Mytilus edulis: one gene and its partners. The protein of the gene in region 1 purifies or fractionates together with the protein of each later gene. This does not show direct contact. Links are inferred from orthologs where the notes say so. Each region holds a gene or a part of one and is shown on either strand. Other genes may lie near its edges.

Evidence for each region.
Region 2: the proteins of axin-1-like (region 1) and homeodomain-interacting protein kinase 2-like purify together in Homo sapiens (affinity purification with western blotting; 3 studies listed by BioGRID). This does not show direct contact. The link is inferred for Mytilus edulis from reciprocal best matches to the Homo sapiens genes AXIN1 and HIPK2.
Region 3: the proteins of axin-1-like (region 1) and low-density lipoprotein receptor-related protein 6-like purify together in Homo sapiens (affinity purification with western blotting; 7 studies listed by BioGRID and IntAct, with this or other methods). This does not show direct contact. The link is inferred for Mytilus edulis from reciprocal best matches to the Homo sapiens genes AXIN1 and LRP6.

The regions. Positions count from the first base shown.
Region 1 is NC_092352.1:5,755,699-5,767,106, forward strand, and holds the start of axin-1-like, read left to right. Parts: upstream 1-5,813; 5' UTR 5,814-6,019; coding exon 6,020-6,086; intron 6,087-6,708; exon of another isoform or gene 6,709-7,182; coding exon of another isoform or gene 7,183-7,201; intron 7,202-8,710; coding exon 8,711-9,680; intron 9,681-11,408. UniProt on the Homo sapiens protein: Component of the beta-catenin destruction complex required for regulating CTNNB1 levels through phosphorylation and ubiquitination, and modulating Wnt-signaling.
Region 2 is NC_092350.1:42,813,480-42,824,330, forward strand, and holds the start of homeodomain-interacting protein kinase 2-like, read left to right. Parts: upstream 1-5,751; 5' UTR 5,752-6,085; intron 6,086-10,226; 5' UTR 10,227-10,240; coding exon 10,241-10,851.
Region 3 is NC_092350.1:70,035,678-70,047,516, forward strand, and holds the start of low-density lipoprotein receptor-related protein 6-like, read left to right. Parts: upstream 1-6,739; 5' UTR 6,740-6,902; coding exon 6,903-6,957; intron 6,958-11,839. UniProt on the Homo sapiens protein: Component of the Wnt-Fzd-LRP5-LRP6 complex that triggers beta-catenin signaling through inducing aggregation of receptor-ligand complexes into ribosome-sized signalosomes.

The sequences.
Region 1 (11,408 bases):
GTTAGGATTTTGGATTTTGCAATTCCGCCCTAGTGAGTTTGTCCAATTGCAATACAATTTATTCAACGGGGCCGAATTGCCGCGAGTGAAAACCAAAGTCTTAAATGTGTATTGCTACCTAAAACCTACAGCGCTCGATTTTACATCTGCAGCGCTAGATCGTACATCTTGAGCGCTGGACTTTAGCCTTATTCCACCATATATATTACTTGAAATCTTCGGTTCTTTATCGCTAGACTTTACATCTCGCTTTCTAGAAGTCTCATATTATGGTGATATGTGATACTCAACACCCAACGGGAGGGATTGTGCTTGATATACATACGATGCAGACATAATCTTTCAATCACTTTGATTGAGGTCTGGCTCTGGCATGTCAGTAACTGCTAGTAGTCCTTTGTTAATTCATGGAACATTGTCATTTTGTTTAGTTACTTTTTTTACCTATTCTGACATTGAACTCGGACTTCTTTTAGACTAAGTTTTACTTTGCGTATTGCTACATGTGTTTGTTTTCTACATTGGCTAGAGGTATAGTGGGAGGGGTGAGATCTAAAAAAACATGTTTAACCCCGCCTAATTTTTTCTCTCCTGTCCCTAATCAGGAGCCTCTGGTCTTTGTTAGTCTTCAACGGTATGAAATTTTAATTCTAGTTTATTTTATATATTTCGGAGTATGACGTCAATTATCACTGAACTAGTACACATTTTTGTTAAGGAGCCAGCTGAAGCACGCCTCCGAGTGCGGAATTTTCTCTCTGTTTTGAAGACACATTGGTGGCCTTCGGCTGTTATCTGCTCTTTGGTCGGGTTGTTGTCTCCTGAACAAATTCCCATTTTCATTCTCAATTTTAAGTAAAAAAAAAACCACTGCTTTTTATAGTATCCGTATTAATAGACCTACATAACTTGATCATACACAACTAATGTCAAAACAAAAAAAACCCTATAAAATCACAAACAATATATATTAAATTTATATTAAGATCCATTTTGTTACATCTCGTGATCAATTTTATTTGGCAATCGCCAATGGCAGTCAGCAGGGTTTAAGACTGACATCAGTTGTTCGACCTGTTAGTCAAATGCGTTTTGTTTAAATATACTTTTTCACTTTTTGGGTCTTTTGGAAAATGTTGTTTGTGCTGTTTTTAGACCCTTCTAAAACGAAATTTGTTTTACATGCACACGTATAAAAATTGAGGTTTTTATCCAACGCAATCATAGGTTTGAACGTAGTTTTCAATTTAGACTCGTTTATATTTTTTCGTTTGGGCTTGTGTCATGTTTTCCCTCCGGTTTATATGATCCGTTCATCCTATATATATTAACTCTCAAAATTCAAGAGTCGATCTGAAATTGAGGGTAAATTATATGGCCTTCCAAATACCGTTTCGATCCCTAACATCACTGAAGAGACATTTATTGTCGAAATCTAGATCTGGTGTACAAAAAAAATATTAATACCTTGTGTTTGTGGCATGACATCTTGGTCACAAGTTTATCGTTTTATGTTTAGTATTAAATTTATATTAAGATCCATTTTGTTACATCTCGTGATCAATTTTATTTGGCAATCGCCAATGGCAGTCAGCAGGGTTTAAGAACATCAGTTGTTCGACCTGTTAGTCAAATGCGTTTTGTTTAAATATACTTTTTCACTTTTTGGGTCTTTTGGAAAATGTTGTTTGTGCTGTTTTTAGACCCTTCTAAAACGAAATTTGTTTTACATGCACACGTATAAAAATTGAGGTTTTTATCCAACGCAGTCATAGGTTTGAACGTAGTTTTCAATTTAGACTCGTTTGTATATATATAGTGTCACGATATCTCAGTAGCATATGGTTCGAATCCCGGTGAGGGAAATTGTATTTTTAAATAGATTGTAGTATTAAATACAATTTATTATACGAAAGCAGAGACATATATACACATATATATGTCTCTGACGAAAGTATGTATCAATTCTATAAAATCTGTAATCTAAATAGTACTGATGAAGATGGCGGTTGTTTAACCGGTCTAGTGGCAAACTAGACGCACATTCAGTGCAAGAACGTGTTTCTTTGTACTAGACCAATACACTGAGTAGGATTTTTAATGTGCTAGCTCACAAAGTAACAGTCTACAGAACACATGTAACCCTATATACGCGGACACATTTTTCTGACTCCAAGTTTTTGCTTTTATTCCCTGATGCCGCCACTTTCTTGGTGAAGAAGCAACCAATTTTCAAGACTTTGGTTTTACCCGGCCAGGGATTGAACCCATGTTACGTTCCGTACTCGAGGCGAACACGAGACAACCGAGTTTATACTTATGACATGGCTGTATTCTGATTATAGCTTTAGGTCACTACGATTACATTTCCAATTTACAAAATAGAAAACATAACATATTGATTAATATATGTTCGTCTTCAATAATTCAAATCATTATATCATAGTATAGTCGTCCTTCATTCAAGCTTTAGTTGCAATGAATGAATCGGAATATGTACGTCATATATTTTTTTATAAACATTTCCAAGATACATGCATCTCAAAAAACAGGTGTAATCCCGCTGCATGTTTGTGCCTGTCCCAAGTGAGGAAGGAGTCTCTGGACTTTGTTAGTCTTGTATGATTCTTAATTTTAGTTTCTTCAGTTATATATTTCGGAGTTTAGTATGACGTCCATTTAATTATCACTCAAACTAGTATACATTTTTAATTAGGGGCCAGCTGAAGCATGCCTCCGGGTGCGGGATTTTCTCGCTGCATTGAAGACCCATTGGTGGCCTTCGGCTGTTGTATGCTCTTTGGTTGGGTTGTTGTCTCTTTGACACATTTCCCATTTCCATTCTCAAAATTTTATTGAAGGCTTTAGCTAAGAGACAGAAATTGACAAAAACTTATTTAGAGACTTGTTCTTGTTTTAGATATATTAGCTGACAGCAACATTAGAACCATGTCGCACGCACCTAGTTGTGAACGTCGTAAAGAAATTTGTGAAAGACTTCCTTTTGAACAATCTTCGTTGGTGGAATAAGGCTAAAGCATATACTAGTAGTATGTACCTGTCCAAAATCAGGAGCCTGTAATTCAGTGGTTGCCGTTTGATGCTGTATTACATAATTGTTTTCGTTCAACTTTTTAGTACATTAATTAGGCCGTTAGTTTTCTTGTTTGAATTGTTTTCATTTGTCATTGCGGAGCCTTTTATATTTTACTATGCAGTATGGGCTTTGTTCATTGTTGAAGGCCGTACGGTGACCTGTAGTTGTTAATTTCTGCGTCATTTGGTCTCTTGTGAAGAGTTGTCTTATTGGCAATCATGCCACAACATCTTTTTTTTTATATTAATGTAATAGACATATATCGGCGAAGTTGGTTCAATAGGAAGTGTTGCCGAAATTTGAGAATCATTTATTGTACCACTATCAATTAATTGAGGACCTGCCACTAGTCTGTGGTGCTCTGTAAAAGTTACTCTCCGTGTCTTTCAGTCTGTTACTGTATGGCATGTATCATCATTGTTCGAGATAACCTCATGCAATTGATTGCCGTTTTGTCAAATTTTGACAAAAATGTGAAAAAAATGGAATAACTTTCCATAATTTATTCCCAATGTAAAAAATAACAAATTTTCAGAATCATCTTTATATGACCCTTAGATTACAAGATCCGATTTAATTCTTATATGCAGTGTTTAACATAAGGAAGGACCGTTTCGTTAATTGTGAATGTCCGACCATGCAAGATTCTCATTGGTAGTCAAGGCTGTTAAAACCCCTCGTAGTAGTAGAGACATATGTCTCTGGTGGTAGATTATGGTGAAATTTGGAGAGAAACAAATATGGTCATTAAACATTTAGTTTCATACAAAGAAGTAGAAGATGAATTTCATTTCACTTTAAAATGAACAAAACTAAATATAATTTATAGAGACCAATTGTTTTTTGAAATAAGCGAAATAGTGCCCTCTTTTTAAATATGACTGATGAAGCAAGATTTAAATTTTGTATACGTGTGGTGAGACTGATATAATTAGAATTGTTGTCCAATTTATAAGTGACATGTACATTTCTAGAAATGCTTTATTAAGTACTAAATAACTTTGTAGTACCATCACCTCCTTATATTCTAAAAATTTGTTAAACACCACATAGGTTATATGACTAATTACATCAGAGAGTACAAATATATGCTTCAAAGAAAAATAATAATGTGCGATATGAACTAGCACAAATTTTTAGAATTGTGCAAGCGTCTTACCTGATGTTCGGTTTGACTTTTTTATTGTATAAATTTCAAGATTGTAACAGCTTAATCTAAGTAGACTGATAATTGATTCATTTAACATCACAATCATATATACCGATGAAGGATATCTGTTATCCGAAATATTTATAAATAATTACATTTATAGTTACCTTTTTTGTATTTGGAGTTTATAGGCGTTTATATAATTTATTTATTGTGTACATGTATCGTTACGCGTAACGATCCAGCGCCCTCGTGGGGAAAATCGTTGACTACTATTCAGACGAGTCAGTGACAACTCTACAACAGATTTATCCATCGGATCACCAGCAATGATGGTGATACATGGCTGTGTACATTATGTATATACAACTCGTCTAAATATCAACCCAACCATGTTAGATTTGTAAATTTGCTTTCGCAAATATTTTGTTCTTCCCTCGCCAGGATTCGAACCATGCTACTGAGATATCGTGACACCAAATAGCCTGCACTGTAGCTGTCCTGCTAGATCACACGACCACCTTGGCTTCACAATAATAAAGCTTTCGGTGGCCATGTGTTACCTTCCCTCGTCAGTTTTAATCTAGCGTCTACTACAGTATATTTATTACATATATTGATGAATTTGGTATGATATATGTCTGTATGTGTATAACAAATGTGTATTGTCTTGGTATCAATCCTGTAATTTTTTATTTCAAACCAATAAAAATTACTTACTTACCTACAAATGTATAAGTGTAATGTTATGATTTGCTTTTCAACGGTGATTCAGACATGCACTTATATGTGTGATAATCGGAGAAATAGGGTGGTTGGACTTGAAAATCTTAATACTTTTCGGAAGAAAGAGGTCGGTCTTAAAATCTTCCTTATTTCTCTAGGGGGGGGGGGGATCTTTTAATGTTTTAACAAAAAATGATATTCTTGTAAAATGTACATGAAAAAGTGATTCCAAAATTGATCCAAAACGTCAAATTGTGGTTAAAAAAATTAGTTCCTGTTAACTCACTCCGAAGTAATTCCTGGTATCAAAATTCATAAACATTGATGTCCAATGAAAAGAAAAGATTTGTGTGCATCAGTATTAATTATTTAGTTGTGTGCCCCACAGAAAAATATGTAAGCAGTTTCCTTGTTGATGTGTCAAATTTCCATTTTGATAAACTATGCCGAATGTTTAATAACAATAAACTTTATATTTCAACATTTAATTCCCTTTTGCAATAACTTTCTAATTACAATTTGGGAGTGAGAAACAACATTTGGTTAACATAATAATTCCCTGTGTTTCTTTAAAGAGCACAGAATAATTTTTCCTTTACAAACATCAATGAATAATATAAAGTTTTAAGGTAACCCATTACGACCTAGCCGAGTTTAAACAAGCATGACATAATGACAAATTTCTCTTTGATCTCCAACTACAAAGAGTCAATAAAGTCTACCTGTGTGTATCACCGGCGTTATTACTCTAATTTCTTTGAATTTCCTTTAAGCGCCGCTTGATAAATCTACTTTAAAGTTATAAAAAGTGTGTTTGGGATAAAACGAATTAAAAATATTAAGTTACTAGTTCTCTGTAGGAAAACAAGTGAATTGATCATAACAAGATAGGTGATATCGACGAATCCGTAATTATCCCACAAAGAGAACAAAGGCGATCGGTTCCTTTGATGTTTACCTGAACATACGTAACAATTAAAATAATTAATTCGTTCGTGTAATTATGTTTTGTGAATCGTACTGATTGGATTAACAAGTTCTTCATAATGTCTTTCTTTCAAACCCTGGTTAGTTCTGAACCACAGTGTCAACATTTTAACAGAAGGAAAAAATGTAACTATATATATACTTTTTTAAATAATAATCTTATTTCACCGTTACCTCTCTTCCTACCAACCTTTTCACGTACAAAGTTATAGATTTATAACACTAGTGTAATACATTGACCATCACATATCGCCTAAGGCACGCCGATGTAATTTATAGGGGCAAATGTAAATTATCTAAGAAGATGAAAGACTAATATAATACCCCGCGTGTTATTTTGGTGTGTTGTATTTACAAAAAGATTATGTAATATTTCTCAGCAATATGCTATTCCATTGTAAACTTTCATCATTTTATCGAAGGTATCCCGAACAGCTTCAGCACAGCACGAATTTACTTCTAAGAGTCCATTCTCTCCTAACTTTTGTTGCTATCGGAAGCTTTTCCCATTTGTATATATTTGAGGGGGCTCATGTTTAGTTGGTCATATTTTTAGGATGCTATTGTAAATAAAATCTACTTATTTTATATATCAGATGCAAATATAGTGTTGATCAAATAAAAAAAATGCCAACAAAACACAATAGATAATTATATTTTAATTGTAATGTTAATCGCATTAACATTGATTTACCCACATGTTAGACTAATCCACAACATTTTTGTGAATGTTGATTTTATCTCGTCTGTGATTGGTGCGGTTCTTCAAAAGAACTGTGACGTCACTTTGTATTAGGATAGTCGGCGGCGGGCTCGTGGCTTTTGATGTTTGAAGATTCAAACTTTTCAAATTAATATTGTAGCATCTGATTTGACCGACATGCACACGAATTGAAACATTTATTAAGGTATGTTTCGAAGTGTACACCATCTGCTAAATTTCATATCACCATGTCGTATAAACACAGCTTTTGAAAGGGGCCATTTTGTTTCGTGGGATGTTATGAGGAGATAACTCGGTTGTGTTTTTAGTGAAATTATTTCATTTGAGGATTAAACACACTTCCTTAACACACATTAATTGCTGCGTGCAATTTCATTTGGGATTTAACTGTGGTGTTTTTTAATATCTGGTGTTTCAGTGACCGTTTTCGACAGGTGCGCGAACGCTTCAGAATAGCAATGCAATTTAGCCATTGTTTCCCAATAATACTTTGTTCTGATGTCGTTAGTTGATGAAAGTAAGTCTTGATTTTGTTTCCATCATTTCTGTTTAGTCATTAGATATGTAATTGTGCACTTTAACAGTCGATACATGTTGTTTTAGATGCCAGATGTATAATTAAACACATAAATTATGTCCCCTTTTAAGTACCCCAAGACTTATCATAATGGCCGCCTCTTGTCTTTACTGTTAGGATTGTATCTTGCTTCTAATATCAAGACGGTTGAAAATAACTTCTTAGCCATTAATCAGCTGAAATGTATGTTTTAAGTTTATACATCACATTAAATCGTCCAGTTGTTAAATTGATTGAGGTATTTGACATTAGTACATTGTGTATAAACTATAAACCCTTGCATTAGTTGCATACCATTGAACTACATTTTGTTTTTCTCATGGTGTTGTTATACACTACTGTTAACTAAACTTAGACACCCCTGACACAATACAACATTATCTTCACTGTAACGGTATTACTTGTCCTATGTTGTTTATTTTTTTAATCATTTTTTCCGTAAAATATCATTCCCATTGATTTTCAAAAGGTTTCAAATATGAGTTTTACTTACATGTACCTGCAGGCTGATTCCTCTATTGTTGACAAACAGATAACGAGTAGAAAGCATATGATTATAAACATAACATTTTATCCAGTTTAACACTATTTTTGTTCAGAGTTCATAATACATTTTGTATATTGATGGAGTTCTGATTAGAAAAAGGGCAGAGTACTAGTGCATCTTTATCTACACGGTTGAAGCCACAGACTTGTAATATTTTATTTGGATTACATTAGTTTTTTCTAAACTTTGTTAAGACACAGAAATATTTGTATTCCAACAAGTAGTTGGAAAAGATTTTGGTGAAAACTGAACCTCAATACTGAACAGGTAATGAGTATTTGCTTGTATGACAAACAAGAGAGAAAAAATAACCCAGAGTTCTGCATAAATGATAAGGAGATATGGCACCATCTAAGAAAGAGCACTTCAAATGTTCTATAGTAATGTTTAAAAGACATGGCACCATTATAGAAAAAAGCATGTTAAATGTTCTGCAGTTAATGATCAAAAGATAAATCTTCAATAGATAATAGAAGTTGTTGCCAATTGTGTGGAAAAGAATTGTTGATTTGTGCTATTAGAAAAATTCTAATACTTCACAGTTCACAGAAACAGATAAACATCTAAACACTGAATCGTTTTATACATGTCAGTGCATTCTGCATTTCTTCTGACCCATGAAACACTTCATTGATTAAGATTCTAGGTTGTCCTTTATTGATTTAGGATGATAAAAGCTGGTTAGAGTATAATTTTGCATGAACGTAAAATGCACTTTTGGCAGTATCATCAATGTGTTATGCATAATATACATGTACACTAGAAATTGGTCTCAATAGGCAATAAACACCATCAAAATTATTCAATCTTAAATTGATTTTACTTTCTTTAAACTTCAGTGTGAATTCTGTTCTTGAGATGTTTAAAAGTAACAGTTTTTAAAAGTCATGTTTCATTTTCAGATGAGCTGACAGAAACCCAAAGCTGGGTTGTATCAAGCAACATGACATCTAGCAGGGTGTGCCAGTTTCTCTCAGAGAGTGGAGGTAGTAATTTTACAGAGACTGCTCCACGGCCACCCGTGCCAGGTGAAGAAAATGAGATTCAGTCAAACGGCGGATTATCAACAAAAAGTAGTGAATCTCATAAAAGTAACAAATCGTGTAAGAGTGGTGGATCAAATCGTGATATAACTACACATTCACCTGCTGCTACACCAAGACGGTCTATGAAAGACAAGTCTCTCATATCTAACCAAAGTTGTTGTGTAGACGACGAGGATATGACAGCCCCCCTTGGTTTTGAACCAGAAGGGAGTGTGTCCAATTCTCCTCCTTTTACTGAGAATAGTACACCGCCGTACATGAAATGGGCTGAGAACTTGAGTTATCTGTTAGAAGACAGAGATGGTGTCCATTTATTTAAACAGTTTTTAGAAAACGAGGATTTTAAATGTTATTCTGTGGATTTTTATTTTGCATGTGAAGGATTAAAGAGAAAACCTCCAGATGATGTAGCTAATATACAAAGCATAATCCGAGCTATTCATAAAAAGTATATAAAAACTGATAAGTTACCATGCATCTCAGAACTGACTAGGCATTATATTCATGAAAAACTTCAAAAAAGAACTTTTGCGGCTGGTCAGGGGATATTTGACAAGGCTCAGATGGAGGTAGAGGAACATATGCGTAAAAATACATATCCATTATTCCTTAAAAGTGATCTTTTTGTTCAATATATTCAAAAGGAAGGTGAAAGAAGTCCAAAAAGTACTAGTACTAGTGGTTCAAATAGTGTACGTCCAGTTTCAGGGCCTCTTCCTACTCTTTTGGAAGATCAGGAACTTAATAATGTGTCATGTTGTGATATGGATGGTCCACCCAGTGCTTCTAAAACCTGTGTGAAGAGAGTTGTGAATGAACCATTTAAGTAAGTACACTATGTTGTGCTTAGTCTTTAGCTTATTGAATTTAAGGTGAAGGTTACTCTACAGACCCTGGTGAAGAAGTCCACATATAAATGTCTGAATGGCCTTCAATTCTTTTGTTTAAAATAAAAAGTGGGAACTACTTAAAGTTCAAAATATAAAATACTAGTGTTTATGGTTTCCCTATCTACAATATTTTGTTTCCTCAAAATGACTATCCTTTAATATAGGGTTTTATTGGCACAGTGATAGTGAAGTATGTATATTAACTAAATTGGAGACGGTCCCTAGGCCTGTATACTCGAGTTGAAATGAGCTAAATAAAAAAATATCTAATTACCATCCTACCAACTACAATTTTAAGGAGGAAAAACACATTTATTTTTATTTGGCCAAAGTAAATGTACTTACACTTACACCAAATATGTATAGCAATTTTTATCCAAATTCTTAAAAAAGTAATTTCTGAATAATTCTTGAATCACCAAATATGTGCACATGTATAAAGTAACAAAGTAATTTATATACAAATGTACATTTCCAAAAAAAGAAAAAAAAACATTGAATGTAATGGATATTCAGCCTCATTGAAACTTGAACACACCTATTGAATTTTAAACAACAAAGAGACAGATTTGTAAAAGCAAATTGCTTGTTTCTGAATCCTTAATATTATTTCATTGTATAATATGTTTAATGTTGATTTATCTGAATAAATATTGTTTAAACTAAACAACAAAGAAATCCTCAACTGCCTTTCTGAAAGATTTTAGTGCAAAATTTTCAACAAAAAATAACCTGTTACCTCTGTAGTTGTGATATATATATTATATATATATAAAAGTAGGTCATAAATGTAAGAAGATTGTTGTGTGAATGCTTTCATCTTCAAATACTTGGTATATTTAGGGCAAACATAATTAGTTTAGGATAAGAGTATATACATTTGTTAGTAAACTAACAATTTTGTCCCATTTGGATGAGCTTTGTTTAATTACACAAGATCTACAGTAATAAATTTGGAAAGAAATACTAAGGTTTTATTAAATTTTAATGTTATTTTCAAGCATAATATTTTGTTGATATGAACCCAGTTATTAATGACCAATATGACCTACATGTATACAGGTGATAGTGACAGGTCTTGTGGGGAATTTGTTTTGTAACCCTTTAAAATTGAGACTAACACCTTTAATAATTTCATGTGTCCGAAGCCTTTGATTTGTACTCTACAATATTATAGGATATGATAAATAAAATAAGTTTGTTTGTAGGTATTAAGTAGAATTTGTTTTGTAACTATCATAAGTTTGATTTGTACTCTACAACATAGGATATTATTAAGAAAATAAGTTAGATTTTTTAGCAGGTAGATTTAGGTTCCTTCACAACTAGACCACCCTATAACTTTTCACTGGTTCGAAGGATGTTACAGAATTTGCATATTCTAATGTGGTTAGCTGAAAAAACAGTCTAACTTTATCATATGTACAATGTATAAGTAAAAAATGCAGGGTTCGAATTTAAGCTTTTGTGTGTACTGGCCAGCCGGACCAGTGGACTGAAAAATCTACCGGTCCGGCTCCAAATCAACTGGTCCTGCAAAAATGTCATTCATTTGACAAACACTTAATTTTCTTTTTCTTTTACATATATATGTTAGACAAAAAGTGCTTTCCTATCCTTTATTCCCATAGATTTTTTGGGCTGTTCTGATTGCTCATGTCAGA
Region 2 (10,851 bases), on another chromosome or scaffold:
ATTAAACTTGTGAAAATCCTATACATAGCTATTTTCAAGCTAATAGCTATAGGCCATTTTCTAAAATTGATCTTTGGCGGTTATAGCAGATAGTTAGATAGTTTAAACATATATTTAAATTGTTCACAGCAAAAAGGATCAGTCACCACAATACAAAATATATAGCAATTAAAATATTTAATGTGAGCATGCATTTATATAATACTTCAAAAAGAAAAGGGAAGAAAGAAAAAACGACATACATTAGGGTGATGGTGCTGTGTATTTTGCCTATGGTAATTATACTATTGGGAATCGTTTTGGTCTTTTTATTGAATTTAAGACTTATATAACAATTTGCTAGTTTTTATCACAGGAGAGTGTTTCTTTTCCAAATACCAAAAGTTTAAAGTCAAAATTGAAGACTTTGAAAAGCCAGCTGAGGTTATTAAAGATAATGGCCCTTTCATTTAAATAGAAAGGACAATCATAGAAAACATGGCTCGTCTCAATATCCAATCCACATTTACATGCTGGTTCAGTTATAATGTAAGATTAAATCCCTATATGCTTGTGCCGAGCGTAGAGTATTTATGACACTCTTTGTTTTTCTCTCCAAATGATCTTGTTTTCAAAGAAATAAAATAATAAAAACTGAGAGATTTTTTTTTTAATCGGTCATATTATCGATGTGTTATTTACACGATACAGATTTGTTTTTTTCTGCTGTCTAGTTTAAACATTTTTTAATGTCCAAAAAGGACAAATGGATTAGGCACAAGTAGTTAGTAACGTCTCTCTGTGTTGTTACGCTACTTTCCAGAGTGTTTTCACAAACATATTCATAGCACCCCGCCACTTTCACAAACAGGTTAAATATTTCTGCCTCATTATTAAGGGCTTTTATAAATCTTTAAAATTTTACATTTCTTGTATGAATTAATCTTGATAACATTAATGCCCTCTTGAACTTATGGGGAAGTTATCGTTGAGAAAGGTTTCCGTTTTCCAAACTGATTAAAACTTGACGGTACTTAAATATGGATACACAAATCTTTTCAAGGAAAATTTTCATTAGCGGTAAACACTCTTGAAAGATATTCTGAAAAATTTGAACATTTTTCTTAAAAATTGAAACCTTTTTTAAATACATGATACACACAAACATATCATACAGAAATTTTCTCATTTAGATAAATGATATATCGAAAGGCACATCAGGGACGTCCGGTGATGCGACACGAATTCTATAAATTATACTTCACGTAAGGACAAAAATGGCAACTAACAATTAATCTAGGTAAAATATCTTCAATTTTCCGATGACAAATGCACTATATGAAGGTCTGGAGAAGGGCTCCCCAACACAGTATTCTTTAATTTTCTAAGCCATGTTCCTCTATTCTTTATATTTAAACACAAAATTGTTGTTGCTTTTCCCCCGGCTTATTTTCTGTGTTTATATTGCCCTTAATTCGGTACTTTTGCCCATTATTCATTTTTTTCTGTTGTCAAACCCATCCAGACCCTCCTAAATGTATATCTCATAAGTCTGATATAAGTAAATATAACGTATGTCTCTTTACGGTGGTCTCTATTAGTACTACCAATTTGCAACTAAATATGATGATAAATGCTTTTTCTCATACAAATAGGATAAATATGCAAAAATATAACTACTGGAACTAGAAATATGTTATTAAATCAGTAACAAAATATTTATTGGACAATAGGGGCTATCATGTTATCAAAATTTCGTTTTGGACAATTCAAGATTGAGACCAACTGTGCTCTTGAAAAAGAAATTTATTCCAGTACTTTTACAATTCATAGCTTTTGTCAAACGCAGTAAACATGGTAAAGATCCGTCTTTACATTATGTTTTCACACTAGTTGAAGTGTGTGTCGTTCCAAATGAACGGCGAAAGACACCAAAGGGACATTAAAAATCATAAGTCGAAAATATACGCCGAGGCAACAAAAGAAAGAGATCCAAAAACGAACCCCACCAAAATAGTGTGGTGATCTCAGCTAGGTGCTCCGGAAGGTATACAGATCCTGCTCCGCGTGTTGCTTAAAAGTACACGAAAGGAAGTTATATAAAACATTATTAGTGATATTGTGTTGGTAATTTTAGATGGGATATTTTCGTTAGATATTTCAAAATTAGTGTAATCGGCCTAGCATAGACAGTTCATTTTAGTTCGCTGAGAGCTAGAAAACACCAATAAAATATTGGGTTATGTCGCTTTGAACAAATACGCATCGCCTTCTTTCGCCAAAATAAAAACAAACGAAGATTAAATCATTGCTTGGGTTAAACAAGTAAGACAAATTACTTGGATTTTTTTCTATCAAAAAAAAATGCAGATCACAAAATGTTGTTTTGTTCGCGCTAATTTAAAAAAAAATGGATTAATTAATTGATAGAGTAGCATAAAATTTACCCGATTTTACAAAACGTTGTTTGCATGACTTATTTGTAGGGTATTGAACATCAATTACTTGACAAGTTCAAAAGTTCGAAGTTTGGATGATTGCTCAAAAGTATGTTTTAACGTAGAAATCGACTGTTTATGCCATTGGCATAATACACACAAAAAAAGAAATTATGTACTTCAAAATAAAAAATAAATAAAAGTACTAACGTACTGTTAACGTTAATGACCACAAGATCTAAATGGTAACGAATAACTCATACAGAATGAGATCTCCCTATAGGTTTTTAGTGGCAATTTGAATTTGTTTTCTTATGTTCACTGTTAAATATTTCACATCAATTTAAACATTTGAAATTGGAACCCGAAACCTTTATACAAGCATGATAAGTACGCTTTCTTTATTTAAATACATGTTGACAGTAAATGGACATGGAATTTTAATATACCTGAAGAGTTGTACATTTGCTCTCTATTCTTAAGGTCTTGGAATAGCATAACACAACTTGGTAGATGTAAATATACCGCAAGCCCCTGATAATAATATTTGATCGATTGATGATAATTATGTAACATGTATTCATTCACATTCATCATCACGCATGAAGAATTCCGTTATCTTAGATAATTATGATTAATTGTTTCCTGCAATGTATAATATCAAGGAATTTTATATTTATACAATTCCTTGATAATTTGTAGTTCAACCTCTGGTAGAAGTGCAATTAATTATTGAATAGAACAGTTGGACTAGGTAACATATTATTGAAGCAAGTATGACAATTGGACCATGCAGTTAACATATAACTAAATTAAATGTAACAATTGGACTTGTTAAAGGAGTTCGCTTCTCAGTTTCAAAGTAATTAACTTTTCAATACACTAGTTTATATAGATAGCACGCCTGGTAAACCATCTAGTCTCAACCAAAATGTTGAGACGGAAAAAAGTATTCTGGCACTTCCTGTTGAGCTTTACTGGTTCAAAATATTCAAAATAAATACAGGGTAGGTCGACTTTTCGTCAATTTACTGAAAATCAATGATTTTTTGGTAAAATAGGAGAATGTCATGCCATAGATAAATAATAGTTGTAACTTATATATCTCTTCTTGGTTCAAAATATCTGAAATTGAAGTCACAATCACTTTCCTCCTACGGATTATCATGTTTACATTCTTTGAATCCGATAGAACTGCTATGATAACAATGACTTAGCAAGAAAATTTGTCAATTATTTGTGTTTTTTAAATTTTAAATGCTTTACGATAACCACGTCTGTAAATTGCAAAACTATTTGTTTGTCAAGCCTACTCTTAGCAGAAAAATGAAAAATTCTAAATGGTTGAGATATAAAGGTATTGGTTGAGTCTTTCTGTCACAATGTTGAGACTTTCTGGTTACTTTGTGCCATAAAATATTTTTTTTTTTAAAACATGGGCGCTGAGGTTTCAAAGTTCAAATTAACTACGACTAGGAATCCAACACGCGTGCATTATTACAATACAAAGATAAAAACTATTAAAACATCTATGCTAGAGGTTATTTCAACTAATTAAAATGTAATTTCTGTTGTAAAAATAAAGTTATTTCCCAAAATGAACTAATAAACTTTATCAGTGTACCATTCGAGTTTACCTTTTTACGGTTAAACTGATTTATGTTTTCTCTCTGTAGTATGTTTTAAAATCTAAATACAGATACAATTTTAAGAATTGCCGATAGAAAAATGCATGCGTTACAAGTATAAATAAGATTATTTTAAAAATATTTATTAATATGATTTGGATGAATTCGATTCCTAACAGACATTAAATATTCAATGCCGAAAATGCGTACATTTATAAAGAAATAAAATTGTTTAAAACTTGTTTAGGTTTATTTTTTCTTACACATTATTTCAGGATAAAGTATGGTCGTGGTATTGTCTTGGTGAGGTCTTGATGATCATGTTGAGAGTAGCCGACTTTAAACATGTTCAAAACAATAGTGATGAGTTCATGGCGAAATCAGGTTGTATAATAGACTATATTACAACAAATGTCTCTTCAGAAGATGCTGTCATAACTACAGACAAGATTAAAACGACAGTTGAAATGTCAAACAATCACGACAAGTTTATGAATTTTGACCGTTTTTATGTAATTGATATACTATAAAGCTAGTAGTAGAAAATTTCTTTCACCAGAAGATCTCAACATTGTTCCAGAATATCTCAACCAATACCAGAAAATCTCAACATGACATACTTTGTAACATATTTAGCTTAATAAAACTATATAAGTAAAAAAAAAGAGAACAAACTGTAACTTTATGCGGTTTGTAAGGTTTAGAAAAATACTAATTTACTAATATATATGTTAGTTTATCAATGATATCACTGTCATTTTGTCAATAACTGACTGTACTGGCGACATTTACCTGCTGGAGAATAGTCCGTGATTCCGATGTCATTTTAAATCATATTGGTCCGTGTTAATGTACACGAGACAGACAAACCCCAATTCAATTATCTATGGCATGACATTCTCCTATTTTACAAAAAAACGCATTGATTTGCAGTAAATTGACGAAAAGTCGACCTACTCTGTGTTTATTTTGATGATATTTTGAACCAGTAAAGCTCAACAGGAAGTGCCAGAATACTTTTTCCCCGTCTCAACATTTGGTTGAGATTAGATGGTTTACCAGGCGCGGAGATCATGATTAATATTATCATTGGAGTCTATCGTCCGTCGCCCGTCGTCGTCGTCCGTTAACTTTTTAAAAAATCTTCTCCTCTGAAACTACTGGGCTAAATTTAACAAAAGCTTGGCCACAATAATCACTACGGTATCTAGTTAAAAATTGTCCGATGTGTTTGGTTATTAATAATAGATTATCTTAGATATCATATCAGTAAATAAAGCCGGTGAGCCTCTAGTTTTTAGAAATAAATATAATTCTGATGATGTATATTGTATATCGGTATGATTATATGATGTTTTGTATATATTAGAAGTTTTTTCCTTCTGAAACAGAAAACTGCAGAGGCTTTTGGCGCAAAATGCAAATTCCTTTAATAGTCATTGTGTCTGATTGGATGTTATTTTGGCCAACTTTCTACACATGTTTCTATGACGTCATGGTTGAGAACCTGATGGGAAATTCTTTAACAAATTTCGTAGCCACATTTTCGTATTCAAAATCATTTATTATTTTGTTATTATAAACTAGTTTAAAATACTTTTAATGAAATTTTTATACCCCAAAATAATAAAAGCGTAAGTTTCAATTATAATACGTGTATTAAATGGTAAACAAAAATGAAAACCAAAACTATATATTTTATCGGAATCGAAATGTGAATCCCCGACGTCTCATCAACATGAATTCGACTTGATCCCCCGAAAGCATTACGGAATGAATTAACGAAAAATGGCTATATTGAGACATATTTCGGGGAAGAGAACTACATGATTTTACTTTTTAATCTTTTATGACAAGGGGGAAGCAAACAGACTGATAATTTTAGTGAAACGAGGGTTACTTTCTGCTTCAAACGGAACAAAACACGCACTGGAATACCAATGTATCGACAACAAAAATCTGATCTTCTTTGTTGATGTCATTTAAAGTGGGCACACATACCATCAGGTGCTCTTATAACTGGATTTATATTCAGGAAAGGTAAGATTTGTTGAATAATAAGATAAATAATGAAAATAAGGAATTACAGATGACCATATGCGGAATAAACCGTTGCAATGTGCGGTTAATTTCCGCCTTGTTTATCGGGGTCACATTTCAAGTCAAGGTTACATTCGTCATGTTTACGTTAATGGTAACCAGTGTTATGTCTTGTATAAACTGTTTTCTTTATATATCTTTTGAAAGATTAATAAAAAAATAAAAATAATTTTGAATCTGATGTGAGAAAGTTGCAATGTACTTGAAAACTTCTCATGAAATCTTGAAAATATTCAGGTAATTTGATCATGCTCAGGTATATTGGCAATATTGCACCATGGGCACATGTACAGTAGGAGTGTTTACATTGAAGACTTCCAATTGGTATACATAATAGGAACCCAATCCAGGTATTTTGATTAAACATAAAGGATGTGAAATATAATAAAGTATTGGAAGTCTAGAGTCTGTTTCCCCAAATAAAACCCTTAAAATATTAATATTAAGGTTGATCATACATGTAAGTCTGACATGAACAATTCAGTATACTAAAGATAAATCTTAGTTTTTTTGTGAAACCGACTCCTGGTCATTATTTTTAATAAATTCCACCTTTATCAGACAATCCACTAAACAAATGTGAAGAAACATGTGGCTCCCTGAGACCCTGACATGATCACACCCTTTTAAAAAGGTTTGTGTTGAAAACATTGTTTTAATCTTATTTGAGTTGGAGTATTACTGTAAAATGGAGACATTATAGGTTTTGTCTGAAATAAGTGAAGTCCTCCAAACGTTACTTTCGTAGACCGATTCTTTTTATCATGTTTATAGTGTTTTGTGAACTATTTGAATAATTAATATTGTCATGATGATCAAAGACCAAGTTCGTTCATTATAACAGGGTCGAAATGGGGGCACTTTCATAATGACATAATGAATAGCGAAGGTTCCAAAGATTTCTCAGTCCTCAGTGGTCTTTTGCATTTAATTGGTCTAGTATGTTTTCAAGCATTACTGGTCCAATCAGTGTTTAAGCAGTCTTTTGCATTATATACATATATATATGATTATAACAAAATTCCTGCATCTACACTGGTCATTTTGCCCAGTAATTGATGAAGTTTTACTGGACATTGCCAGATGTCTGATGGAGCTTGGGAATAACTGGAATAACAATAAAAATTCTTGGCAAATGGCTTCAACATCAATTTTGGTGCATGATGATAAAAAAAATCAATTTGCGTTAATTTGTTTCCCAAAATTACAACAGTGATAATTATTTGAGACCTATGAAGAAATACAGCATAATTTTAACCAATTTGATACTAACAGTAGTGGAAAATGCTTGTTTGAGGCCTGACTGTTAAGGGCATTTCTACCCTCTTACAAGACTTGTAATTTAAAAGGAGGGAGCTGAAGGCTATATCTATAATAATCAAACTTAACTTGTCACAATGACATTTCCAGGATAAATATTTTCATTGTTTTTAAATTACTCGTGATCATATCAAGCTAACTGTTACAACAAAAAATGCCCAACTAGATTTTTTTTCTCCGCCTACCTAAGCTAATTGCTCAAGAGAGGCTAACAATGGGATATTCCAAATGCAAACATAAATCGAAAATAAACATGGGAAAAAAGCAGTACCAAAACTCAAAAAACAGTACATGTATGTGAATATATAATTTAAACCCAACATAAAAAACTACATTTTGTAAAGACTGAGCAATACAAACCCCATCTAACATATATATACAAATGTATACATGTACGTATCACAACAATCATGCATGAATTTTAAACATATAACAATAATGCCAAATAAGGTGCGAATATGCAGGGTGTGAACAAACCTAGGACACAAATGTGTAAGCTTAAGGTGTTAACTAACACAGGGTGTAAATAGAGCAAATAGACCGGATACCAACGTAAATTGCCTCATGGGGAATTATTCCATACATTTTTTAGGAAATAACCGGGAACTGTCAGAAATTATAGTTTAGGTGAGTTTTCATTGAAAATATCACAAATTTATAAATAAATGAAACAACATGCAATAACAGTATAATTTTTGGGGGTAAAAACTAGTAAAAGAAATTTTATGTACATCAATTCAAGAAGTAATAATTAGTTCAATGATAAGAAGTTATCAACAACTTGTTATAAGTTGTCAGTAAATCAGGTAAGGATTGTTCATCTTTTGAAAAAGATGCTTCATTTGCAAACTTCCAAAAATACATTATAGAACTGATAGACATTAAGTTTATCAAGGATGTTATATTAGAAGGAGAGTGAACACTCTGCTTGATACAAAATTAGCACCCCCAGGATATCAGTTCGATCAGAGAAAAATATAAAGAAACCAACATGTTTATCAACCACTTGACATGGCCCTCTGATGTACCCGGCTGTTACCGCGAGTAGTTCTGGCTATTGGATAAATCGCATATGTCACATGATTGTTTTAAGTGACTGGGTCATTAAAGTTCAGGTGTATTTTTAGTTACAGTGCAGTGCATAGGTGTTTATGATTTGGAAAAAGATTTGACGCGCAATTTCAAAATCAACCGTCTGTCTACGGTGAAAAAAGATAAAGAAATGACAAAGTTATAAGGGTTTAAAGGAAAGTTAGTGAGCGATTTTTATTCAACACTACATTGCTTTAAACAAAGATTTTCGCTTCACCTGTCAATTTCTGCTTATGAGAATTGGCAGGTAATAATCATAGAAAATATACGAATATGCAAAGTACTTTAGTTACGGTGACCGGTAACGACCGGAAGGAATATTTGCAACTGAAACATAGAGAAATTTATCGGGAACATCGTAAAAGTGACTTTCCATCTTTCTGTTATGACTGTTGATATTAACATTGACGGCAATGAGACGGATATTTGTTTTATTTCTATTGGTAATAAGTTTACTTTTAACATAAAATTTTAATTTTTAAGTACTTAATAAAAAATATCACAAAAAATCTGATTAATATTTCAATAATTGTATATCTGGTCAGTTTATGACACCTCAGGTGTTTCCGTTCTTACTCGGGTATGTTATTAGGACAAAATCTCCCTCTGTGACTGAGTCGATCTCAACTAATTAACACCCACTTACAGAAAAGTCGGTAACATTTTATGTGTAATTATCATCTTTCGTCCTCTCTCCTTCTAATATAACCTCCTTGAGTTTATAGACAATTTAATATTATAATTCTCACAAAATAATTCATCTGCCTTACCAAACATCCAAAAATTTATAAAATAATCTGAAATCTAAAAACTGTAAAATTTATAATACAGTTTTATTTGTAGAAATGAACCAGTTCTAACGTTAACTTTATTTGTTAATTATAAATAACAAGATATTGAAATGCTACATGTACTGCTACATGTATATTATATGTCCATCCACTTCCTATTTTAGGAACATTTGAATTACAGATACATCATGTACATGTCGGTCACAATAGTCTTATTAGATTTGCTAATCCACTATTACAACTTTTTTTTTTGCTGTAAAAAACAAACTGTCATTTGTAACTACAATATAACTGTTACCTATATTTTTCAAGAAATAAAATTTGGAACATCCTATTGGAAATACACTTCATAGTATTACTCTCTTGTATCCTCTAGACTAGCCCTGTAGATGATACAGATGTTTGACACTCAAAACAGGTCACTGGTGCAGACAGAACAATAGTGGTTCTAAACTGAAAATACTTATACATTGTATATAATATACAATTCAATGTGACATATTTCTGAAGGATTTGTAGTTTCCATTGTACATATATATATATGATATTAGTGCATATTATACATGTAAATTGTTCCATTTCAATGCTTGAATTGATTATTTTTTTGTTGCAGCAGGTGTTACTAAATTACATTTGTAGTTCATATTGGCAATGATTATTAGCATTCAGTTGTTTCAAATTAGTTTAATAGTAGGCACTTGTGCAAATGTTCATATACACATTTTTTGTAAAATCAAAATGAATGCTACAAGTGTGATGGGGAGGAACAAAACGTAAATATTAGATGCATGTCTCAAAGGCCGTTACAATACATGATTTCTGTCAAACTCAAAAGTTTGTTTTTAATTTGTTATATTTTTATTGTGTTTATTTTGCAGACTAAAAGTTACTGATGCAAGAAGACTTTCTAAAGTACAGTTCAAAACAAAGTGCATTTAGTAACTTTAAGAAGATCAAGTTAGAACCCGATATCCATGATGTGAATGCTTTTGGTAGACACGAAATATCAAGCAGCCCTATAGTATACCAACATAATACTGCCTATATTTTACCACAGAATCGTAATGTCCTAAGAGATATTGATAATCAGACTCAGAATTATATCCGTGCTTCTACAATTAAACTATTAAATTCGTACCAGAGATGTGGCATTAAAAGGAAGAGTGACGACCTTGACGCACCCATGCAGCTCCAAGTGCAAGAGACACAGCCAGTTTCAAGTGATGAAGACAAAGGCACAAATGTTGCCACGACAACTACCTCCAAAAATACCTCCTCGTCCAATAACGAGGGGGATTATCAACTGGTACAACATGAGGTTTTGTATTCGATGACCAGTCATAATGCATATGAAGTGCTAGAATTTCTTGGTCGTGGAACATTTGGTCAAGTAGTGAAATGTTGGAAAAAAGGCACTAATGAAATAGTTGCCATTAAAATATTGAAGAATCACCCATCATATGCTCGTCAAGGACAGATAGAGGTGAGCATATTGACTCGGTT
Region 3 (11,839 bases), on another chromosome or scaffold:
CAAAAATATTATGTTGGATACACGTTTATGAGATGTGTTTTTCTGAAACAATTTTTAAAAAAATCCATGAATCTAATGGGTTATTACAGACATATTTGAAACATATAATTCGCTTGGAATAAAAAAGAAATACTTACTTTCTCCTTTTTAATTTGATATACTTTCCCAGAAACTAAAACTTATCAAACGACTTTTCTAGCAAATATGATTTTTAGTGATCATGATAATCATCAGACAAAACTAAAGTCCAATGTCCTTATTCCTGTACGTAATACGCGTACGCCCCTTTCACTTTTTGACGCAAGATAGAAATTCTGGAATCCTTAAACAGTGATTAAATACATCTACATTACAAGTTTTTCCAAGTGGTCAATTTATTTCCCGTATTTTCAAGTACATATCCAATACTTACCTTTTACTTATACTGAAAAGACCAAATGTCTGTAAAATTCTCTATTTAACCAATTAATCAGGTCAAAACCCGAGTTATGTCGTCATCACTATCTAATCATAATTTCTGATATGAATAATTATCCGGTGATTGATAAATCAGAAAATTTCATATTTATACATATAGGGTTCACAGATAACTTAAATGTGGCGCATTATCTAATTGGTGATATATGCGTAATAAAGAAATATGTTCATCCCAGCTCCAACTGCCATATTAGGGTGTACACCCCTCCTACCCCCCCCCTTTTCCCCCCAACAAAAAAACAAACTTGGAATATTCCAACTGTGTTAGTCATTGGCTATGAACTAGCTTTCAGATTTTAGTAGTTCGAGTACTTTTCGGTGCTTTGTGTCTATTGTTTAATTTTATGTTAGTTTTTTATGTGCCTCGATTGTATTCATCTTTGGGGTAAGCGAAATGCAACTATAATTTTACAGTTTGTTCTTACGTTGCACTGTTACACCACGGACGGTTGAGCGCTCATAAACATGTTTAACCCCGCCACTTTTTTGTCAGGTCAGGAGCCATGCAGTTGTACAGTGGTTGTCGCTGTTTCATGTCTGTCGTATTGAGTGTGTTCGTTAATTGTTTTTGATAAATCAAGCTGTTTTTTTACTCGTTTGAATTGTTTCACATATTTCATGTCGACCGGGGGCTTTAATTACGGACTATACGGTATGGTTTTTTTCTTGTTAAAGTCCATAATTTGGCCTGTCATTTCTTATTACCACTTAATTTAAACTTTAGAGGATAGTTGTCTCATTAGCATTCATTTCACATCTTCTCATTTTCAAAGGAACCACCATTTAACTTTAAGTTGGGGTGGGGTTGGTGGGTGGGAAGGGGGGTTCCTAAAAGATATTCTGATACATGATTTGATAAAAACAATTATTGTGGTCAAGCAGATTCCAAAAAATTTTTATTCTGAATCCAGTTTTTATCCCTTTGTCCCATACCTTATAGTGTTAAATTTGAAAAAAAATGACTGATAACGTCGAAAAACTAAAAATAAAAGCGCGAAAAAAATGTTTGACTCAGACAAATAACTACACTCCCCCTTATCCTGAATTTAAGTGGTTGTTCTCTTATACAAAAGTAAAACGACATTTTCAACGACTAGTGAAGTAACGTGTGCAGTGTACAACAAACAAACAAACAAACAAACTAACAAAATCTTACCGTTATCACTTTTTGTTTGACCTCAATGGTCAATGTTCTTGACTCCAGTTAGATTTCAAATTCAAGTCTAGTCATTTGGTTGTTAACTGCATGCACTCAAACGAATTAAAAATAGATCATCAAACAGCTTGACATGTATCGTATTAAATAGGAAACGATATCATATGACAAATTAGGCAATTTGGTGTTTGAGGGCAAAACAGTATAAGAAAACAATTAGATGATCTCTATTTTGTAATTTTTATCAACTTGCCACTTTTTCATAGATCCTATAGCTATTTCTTAACCCTCTTTCCCACATATCCACTTTTTGTATTCTCTATTATCCTACATCTTCATTTTAAATTCCTATATCACGCATCCCAAGAGCGTGCGAACCCTCTGTCTCCCTTTTCAGTGATCTCGTACATCATCCCGCAGCATTTCTGATTCTAAACGGTAAATGTCTATTGTCATATTCGTACTTGACCTGTATGTTATGCCAAATGGTCAACGACGTTGAATTTATATTAAAACATAAAACTAAAACAAACGATTTATGAGGAAACTAAGGGGGGTAACTCTAGATTAAGTCGATTAATTTTTTTCGGCCTGTAGTTGCTAGTCCTTGGCATCATGGCAATATTTATGAAGAAGGTACTTCAGTTTTCACCTGTATAAACAAAAACAAAAATGTAAACAGATAACTGAGGGGCATAACTTTTGACCACAATACTAGTATAAAGGGATATTTAAAAGGACCACTGCGGTCCGTATTTTTGAGTCTGTCCAAGGTCAAAAGCATATGGCCTTTATTAGTCTTGCTTAGTTTTTTTCTAAATTTTAGTTCATTTGTACATGTTTCAGAGTTTAGGGTGACGTCCATTTTCATTGAAATAGTACACAATCTTGGCAAGGGGCCAGCTTAAGCCCGCCTCTGTGAGATGGATTTTCTCGCTGCGTTGAAGACCCATTGGTGGACTTGCCTGTCTGTGTTCTCCTCTTTGATCGGGTTGTTGTCTCGTTGACATATTCCCCATATTCATTCTTAATTCAATTCTAGAGAAACTCCTCCTGGTAGTGTTTTTCGATGGCTTAAGGTAGTACCTAACACTACAGGGAGATAACTCTGTAAAATCAGCTAAACGTTTTAATAACGTTGTGTTGTTAAGGGAATATTAAGCTTCTCAATGATCAAAATAAGTGTTTGTCAAACTGCTATATAACCAGTGTAATTTTTCTGATAAAATGGTTGGTTCAAATTTTTTGAAATTTTTATATTTTTGTAAAAGGGTCAAAGTAATACTTTGTCAAAATTTTAAGAAAATGTCGTTAAGTAAGATTCTCAAATTGGTCATAAAAAACGATTTTATTTATGTGTCACCATAGGAAATCAGCGCATGTTTGGTTATGTGTAATATTTTGTCAAGCAGCAGGACACCTATGGAAAATTCCGACGAAAAATTGTTGTTGAGAGGGTTCTTATGGTAACATGTCGAAATCACAATGGTTATCGGATTTTGCCCCTGTGTAAGTATACGTACATTAATCTGTATGTTTTGTAACCTATTGGAATTCGGAGGTAGCTTAAGTCGGTTTCTTTTATGTGTTGTTATTTTCATTTGGTCAACTTATCGAGATTAATAAGGGGAGGGTTTAGAATAGCAAAATCTGGTTTAATCCTTCCTCATATTCATGTACCTGTCCAGGACCAGGAACCTGTAAGTGTTTATATAAGTTGTCTTAGTTTACACATATATACATAAAAAAAATCGAGTTTGGTGTATATTGTATATTGATCTTTTTTCAATATTGACCAAAGACGATGGAGTTCGAGCTTGATCTCATAAACATGTTTAACCCCGCCACATTTTTGCGTCTGTCACAAGTCAGAAGCCTCTGGCCTTTGTTAGTCTTGTATTATTTTTAATTTTAGTTTCTTGTGTACAATTTGGAGTTTAGTATGGCGTTCATTATCACTGAACTAGTATATACATGTATATTTTTTTATTAAGTTAAACCTGCCAATTGATATTTTATTGTGTGTTTTCTATGTTGTGTTGTTATGCTATTGTTTCAGAAAAGGGGGAAGGTTTGGTACCATTTAAACGTTTAATCCCGCTGCAAATGTTTGCACCTGTCCTAAGTAAGGAATCTGATGTACAGAAGTTGTCGTTTGTTTATGTAGTTTATACGTGTTTCTAGTTTCTCGTTTTTTATATAGATTAGACCGTTGGTTTTCCCGTTTGAATGATTTTACACTAGTAATTCTGGGGCCCTTTATAGCTTGTTGTTCGGTGCATGTGAGTCATGGCTCCGTGTTGAAGGCGCCTGCCGTACATTGACCCTTAATGGTTTACTTTTATATTTTGTTATTTGGATGGAGAGTTGTCTCATTGGCACTCGCACCACATCTTCCTATATCTATATTTGTTTAGGGGCCAGCTGAAGGACGCCTCCGGGTGCGTGAATTTGTCGCTGCATTGAAGACCTGTTGATGACCTTCTGCTGTTGTCTGATCTATGGTCGGGTTTTGTGTCTTTGACACATTCCCCATTTACATTCTCAATTTTATAATATATATTTCAAGATCGTATGTTGTCCTCTAAATGTATTTTGATTGATTAATTTTGTCTTGAGGTTGCTGTCCCGCTGACTTTTAGTCCCTTATCTCCTTTAATTCCTATTGATAGTTGTCTGGAAAAGGTATATTGGTTTCATTTTGTTTTTATTCGATTGTCCTAACCATGCATTGGTTACTTGCCACGGACGACATGAAAATCAAGAACATATTCCTAAATTGATTGATTGATTGATTGATTGATTGATTGATTGATTGATTGATTGATTGATACGCTCTTTAGTGTCGTTCGTTTAGTTTAACTAGTTAGTCTTGCGTTTTAACTTGAATTACGTCCCTTTGCATGATAGCCTTCCACAAATGTTGAATTTGATGCCGATTTTCGCTGTTCCGTGCTTGTCTATGATACTGGACAGTGAAAAATATGGTAACTTTATTTTCCATTAAATGAACTCCATTGATCTTATAGTTCCACATCAGACATTATGTTAGACGGGAAACAATAAGTTACAAAGTCTGAACAAACACTATACATTTATTTTTTGTCGATATAAAAAAAAATAGAGCATATGATTGCCGATATGAGATATCGCGCCAACAGAGACCCGAAATGACTTAGAAGTTTTAATATCTATGGATCATCGTACAGCCTTCAGCAATGAGTAAATCCTATAATGCACATAAAACATGTAAAAGGCCCCGGCAAAAAAATCTTTACCTTTAAAAAAGGGCAGAAAATAAAAATAGGCTGTAGTTACAAATCACAAAATGTACTAAAAATACAAATCCAAACCACGCTGGGTCAGCCTCTGAATAACCAAATGATTAATGCCTCTGTGTCTTCATTCAAAAAGTCTTTTGTGTAAGACTGCTATTTACAAAGAGAATCTGACGTTAAATAAAAGTGTGGTCATCTTATAATTTACTGTAAACGCATCTTTCTTTTGAGGTTCAGCTCTACAAAAATAAAAAAAAACTGCATGTACACTTTTACATCATCCATTTCTTAACCCCTTTTCCGCGACTTATATTGCCGCTTTCGGTTCTTCTAAATCCTTCTATGATGGTGTGGATTGGTGTATATGAAATAGAGAAAAATGGGTAAAAATACACTGTACACTTTTCACCATCCATTCTTCGACTTCAGGCGCGGATCCAGAAGGGGGGGGGGGGGGGATGTTCCGGGGGTTGGAACCCCCCCTTTTTTTGGACGATCAATGCATTTGAATGGGGACATATAGTTGGAAACCCACCCCCCCCCTTTGTCCTTGGTTAGGAACCCCCCCTTTTTAAAATGGCTGGATCCGCCCCTGGACTTCATGACAGTTTTAATGTTGTCCCTTTCGGAATTGTCTAAGTCCTTCTATGAGGATGTGTATTGGGGTCTACAAAATAGAGAATAATATATACACAAAAGAAAAAGAAAAAAAAAGAGAAATATAAAACAAATTCACAAAACACGAGAGAATAGATAAAATGGACAACAAATAAAGAATATAGAAAAATGGCCAAAACCTGGGACTATTATACTAATTAGTATGATAGTCCCAACTATTATATACTAAATTAGTATAACTTAGTCCCAGCTTAAACTGATGACCGGAAAATACAGATATATTTATAGGATCCCCATCCACTGACCCACTTCAATGAGTCGGGAAAAAAAGGTTTTCTTGTAGATTAGTAAAAAGAGCAATACCTTCGTGTTGCAACAACTTTAGAAAAATATCAAACGTTTATTAATTGTTCAGGGTTGTCACTAGGGGATGACAATTTTTTAGGAGTTAAATAAGGGTGAGGGCATAGGCGGATCCAGGGGCGGGTGTTCGAGGGCGGGTGGTCCTGGGGGTCCCGGGTCCGCCTGTGTAGGAAAAAAATTTGGTTGATTATATACGAAAATTCACTGAAGAATGACTGGAGCGCCCCCTTTTATGTCAGTCAGTGCACCCCCACCCCCTTTTTTACAAAGTTCTGGATCCGCCACTGGAGGCATAGGGCTTGGGTTGGAAGGAGGAATTTAATCACGAGGCCTGCCGGGTTTGTACGAGAGATAACTGTCCATCCTCGAGCTGATAAAATTCTACCTAAAGTTTTTTTTCTTATAGTCATCTTAGCTTTGTAACTCAGTCTATTTTTGTCCAAGATCCTTTTATTAATTGAAAGTGGCAACGAATATCCTATAAATGTCATAAATCTGTTTTCACATGCAAAAAATATGTAATAACACATATGATAAATATGTGACTAAATCTTTTTAAGTAATTACGATTTTTCTATAATCTGATTTCAAACAAACCCCCATTCTTTATTTTTTGACAGGTGCCAGTTATGATTAACCTTTTCTTAGACATGCAAATAGTGCTAACTAACTAGCTTCCCGTTTTAGTCATTTTTCTTTTGGATTCTCGTCTTGTATTTTTCTCGTGTCCATTTTACAACAATGAATGCAGTACACAACTGATTTTCGTTAATGGATTGGAAATATAAATGTTTACTTAACGGTTTACAACAAAGGCGAATCACGGGCACCTGCCAAGCGGAGTAATACACAACATGTTTTATAGTTCCGGTCAATTTTGTAATGGCTGCCAATGATCTCAAAAAATACAAATGTGACCTAAATAAGTTTACCGTTCCTAAATTTATGGACATTATTAATGTCTGGGACCGGACTTTCTTGTTTTTACAGACATTCATCTGTCCGTAAGGATGGGGATGGTGTCAAAATTATATTTAATAATCGGATGTCTGTCCATAATCAAAGGTAAGATCATCACCTGAGATGGAGTAGTGTACACAAAACATCAAAGATACCGTGTGTATTCCGTCCCCTTGTTTATTAAATGTTAATTAGATAATTAGTAATATTAAAGAATAGATCGTTCAAAGTTAAATGTCCAAAGTTATGATTTTTTCATTGGCTTTATTCTTTCAATCAAAAAACAAATACGCAATCAAAAGTTTTGACCATTCCTTTGATCTCGCCGCCATAATGAGAACTGCAGTGATTTTGTGTATTCGCTACGAGCTTTGATCATTTTAAACAGTTACACTATTATCATTTTACAATGTTTTTAAACTTAAAAATGTTTGTAAACATGAAAGAATGTCTTAAATTGTGGATTTGTAAAGTAAACAAAATGTGTTTTAGGGCAATACACAAATTCCCTGTTTGGTCACGTGACCGTTCTCTGTCCCTCTTGATTTACTCAAACAGTGATATACTTGATGGTGTTCAGTTGAAAGGTTAACTTTTTTTTCATGAACCAAAAGAATGAAATATATAGTTAATTTTTATTATTTAAAATTTATGCAGAAATAGATTTAAAAAGGAATGTCAGATTATTTTTGCTACCTACTAAATATTGTATGCAATTTTAGGGCCCTTCAACAGTTAACCTAAAGGACTTGATAAATTTAGATTTAGTCATGTTATTGTGTTTTGGTTATTAAATTCAGATCCCTTCGTATACATCAGGATATAGCAACTTATAGCTGCTTACCCTCCTGTTACATACTAGATTCAAAGAACCCATTTAGGCTAAACAATTAAAACATTCTTTTTTTTTTTTTTTTTAATATTAAACATATTTTATTAACAATCACCTTTTACATCAACACTCAGTTGCCCAGGGAAGCAACTAAGGGGGCCCCAATTTTTACAGTCTCATTTGTCGGGGAAAAGCAAATGAGAAAAAAACTCCCCCTATAAATTATTAACATCAACCTTTATAAATATTATCTATCCTTGTACAAATGTACATGTACCTGCAATCAATATCGATCTATATATCTATACATCTCACCATATATAATTATTTGAATAAAGTTTGTTTTCTATCTTCATTTATTTCTCACAATTAAAACATTCTTATAGAATATGTAAAGGATTTTTTTTTGTAGCTGTTACAGCTTTGTAGAAACCAGAATTTTGTGATCAAAATATCACCAGAAATTTCAGTCTGTTTTGTCTTGATATACTCCCAGCCAGCCATCCTTCCATCCATCATGTCGATCTCCTGCAGTGACAGAACCAGAAATTTTCACAAGTGCGGGCACACTGACTGCCTAAGATGGGGCATGCTCCGGTCATGCTTCAGTGATACCCTATATAATCAATCAAATTTTTCCCAGGAAAAGGGGTGGGGGCCCAAAATCCACCTCTGTTCGTGTAATGAAATAATAACTTATTGACAGGCCATAGAATCTTGTTTGTGTCATTGTATTTACATGTATAACTACAGTTGCAATGTAACTCTCCATATCATAGAATATATTTGAGGACTTGTAAAAGATTAAGAATTTGCAAGGCAAAGGCCCAACCTGCACAAAAGTGTTGGTGGCAAATAAAATGGAAATGGGGATTGTGTCTAAGAGATAACAACCCGACCATATAAACTGACAACAGCAGAAGGTCACCAATAGTTCTTCAATGCAGCGAGAAATTCCTGTACTCAGAGGCGTCTTTCAGCTGATCTTTTAGATTTTAAAGACCATTTAGATTTAAAGATACAGTATATTACTATGATTACATTTAAAGCTACCTTGGCTAATATCTCGACAATAGTTTAAGCCTATGATCAACTTATTAGGTTGTTGTCTCATTTATAGATATTAACCTAAACCATTGTATACCATACATCTTCTGACAATACATTTACATTCAAAATTATTCTGAACAGTGCACTTGAAATGTTGAAATTCTGATGGGATCTCTGACTTGTATAAAACTTCAGTTTTCATACAGATAGTAACTTTTTATGCCCCACCTACATGTACATTGTATTAAAGTAGAGGCTTATGTTTCTTCCTGTCTGTGTGTCTTTCTGTCCTGGTTTGGTTAGGTTAGGTATTGGTTTGTGGTGGTTTATGATTACGTGTATATTGGTTTATTACTTACATGTAGTATACATGCATATTTTGACGTGAACCGTTTAATACATATGTTGCTAAAATGTATGGCTTTTGATGTCATTTGCAATACACGAATTTCCTACATCAGTCAACCTTGTTTTAAAGGGTCACCTGTCTTAATCAGAAATCTGTCTGGTTAGGTTATCCTAATTTTATGTCCCATTTTCTATGATATCTACCTACCTACCTATCTACATGTACCTATGCTCTTCATTCCTGGCGGAGCACACGTTCGCCACAAGATTTCACCATCCAGATCTGTCTTAAGACTTTGTTTCGACTTCTCTCCATGTCATGTCAACCTCCTTCAGTTCTGCCTCAATTGTTCGACGCCAGGTTGTTTTGGGTCTTCCTCTTGGTCTCTTCCCCTGGGGTGTCCATCTTAGAGCTGTCCTGGTTATGTTGGATACAGGCATCATCATGAGAACATGCCCCAGCCATCTGAAGGGCCTCTGTTGTATTTCTTTGAGGATATACAGCGTGACATGGACTTGCTCCTATCAAGAAGATGTTCATTTGTGATAAGGTTTGGCCAAATGATTTTACAAATTTGCCTCAGACAATTGTGATTAAAACTTTAGAACGATCTTATATACATGTATATCTGTTTTTGTTACTCTCCAGCATTCACCCCCATGGCCATACAGAAGGATGGATTTAACATTACTGTTATAGCCTTATCTTTGTTTTTCTGTTGTATTGGCTGGACTTCCAAATGGGTGGTAGTCTTTGAAATGCAGATCTTGCTTTAGCTAGCCTACTTTCATGACTTTTAACATTTTTCGTTGTATCTTCTGTATTAACGACAGTTCTTAGATAGGTAAATTTATCTCCTTGTTGGGTTTCTATGCCCTCAGATTTTAGTCTTAAGTTTGATGTTGTGTTTAGTTGAATTTCCTGAGTCTTTTTGCGTTCAGTTATAATTAAATTTCGCTTGCAAAATGGCTGAGCTGATTTGTCTTTTCCTGCATAATATATTGTCTTGTTTTGATGACAGGAGTGCTATATCATCAGAAAAGTCAAGGTCTTCTAGGGTTGTAAACATGGACCATGTGATGCCTAGAATCTATGAATTTTGAACCTCAATCATGTCAATTCAAAGATTATCTTTCTTTTCTCTGGTCCCAAAGTTTCAGGATTAGCCACTAGTTTGATGCACCAGACGACCGGTACAGTACACACTGGGACATGGTCTGAAAAATCATCAGTATGCCTGGCATTAAATGCTGGGCTTTTATTGGGGTCATAAATGGGGTCATAAATCACTGGCATCATGTACATGTACATTATACTTACAAATGTAGGACCTAAATTAGATACAGGAAAAGCCTTAAAAGATTCAGAACTATTACAAACTTTTAGTGGGCCATCAGAACCACCACACTGACTGGTCCACTACATTCTAAATTGATAGACCTATATGTACATGTACTTTGGTTTTTGGACAGACAGTACAAGTTTTTGACTAAGATGAAGAATTGCTAAAAATATACCCACTTAGGGCAGTCAGTGGGCCCCCCTTATAAAAATTGATGGATCCGCCTCTGTCCCCACCCTAACTAAACCATTCATGTCGTAAAATTAGAATATACCTTAAACCTGCACTGTGCAGTATGCCATGTATGCAGTGTACACTGAAGTGAGTATTGTACCAATATTTGATAAGCAGAAATTTCTGTAGTCAGTGGCCCCCCTTATAAAAATTTATCGATCCGCCACTGTCCCCACCCTATCTAAACCATACATGTCGTAAAATTAGAATAGACCATAAACCTGCACCGTGCAGTGTGCAGTGTACACTGAAGTCAGTATTGTACCAATATTTGATAAGCAGAAATTTCTGTTGGCTTAAGATCTAGGTAAACATGATAAACAAAGTAATAACATCATTTCAAGCTATAGTAAATAATCTGCCAGCCACATGACAGTTTCGACACTTGATTAAACAGTTTCTTTCTGATTAGCTTAAGTGTCTCATATAAGTTGTCATTGGGTGGACATTAAGCCTCTACTAATGAAATTGTACTTTGTCAACCCCCAAGTGACAAATGTATTAATGATCTTGTTTTAAAGTATCCTTGTTAATATTACATTTGTACATTGTCTGTTTAAATTTATTATCTTTTTCCCTTTACATTGTGTTTAAAAATAGCATTGAAAAATCACTTTTTTGTTTCGTCTGACTGCAAGGTAAAATTCAACAGGTTTTAAAAGTCTGTATATGATGAACAACTGGTATGTAGTGAAAAGGGGAGTTTAACCCAAATGAGACAGCAACCCAACAATAAGTCTAAGATCAATGGACAATTTTTTTAAAATTACAGAACTTAGTCTTTCCAATACAAGAGACAAGAGAAGAAAGGTACATAGATACAACCTAATCTCGGTTGCAGATCCAGAGGAGGTTTGGAACCCCCCCTTTTTTTTTGGGACGATCAATGCATTTAAATAGAGACATATATAGTTGGAACCCCACCTTTTATCCGGGGTTGGGAACCCCCTTTTATAAATGGCTTGATCCGCCCCTGAATCTACAATAATCAGATTATAAAGGTAATGGTATATATCTAAAATATTGTACCACATTGAGATTTGTGCACATCATGCACATGGATGTTACATCTTGAATAATTTTTTTACTTGCAAGTGAATAAGTAATTATCAATGTTTCTTCGCTTAATTTGACAAAATTGAACCATTTTGGCTGCTAAAAGCGAATTATTATTTCACTT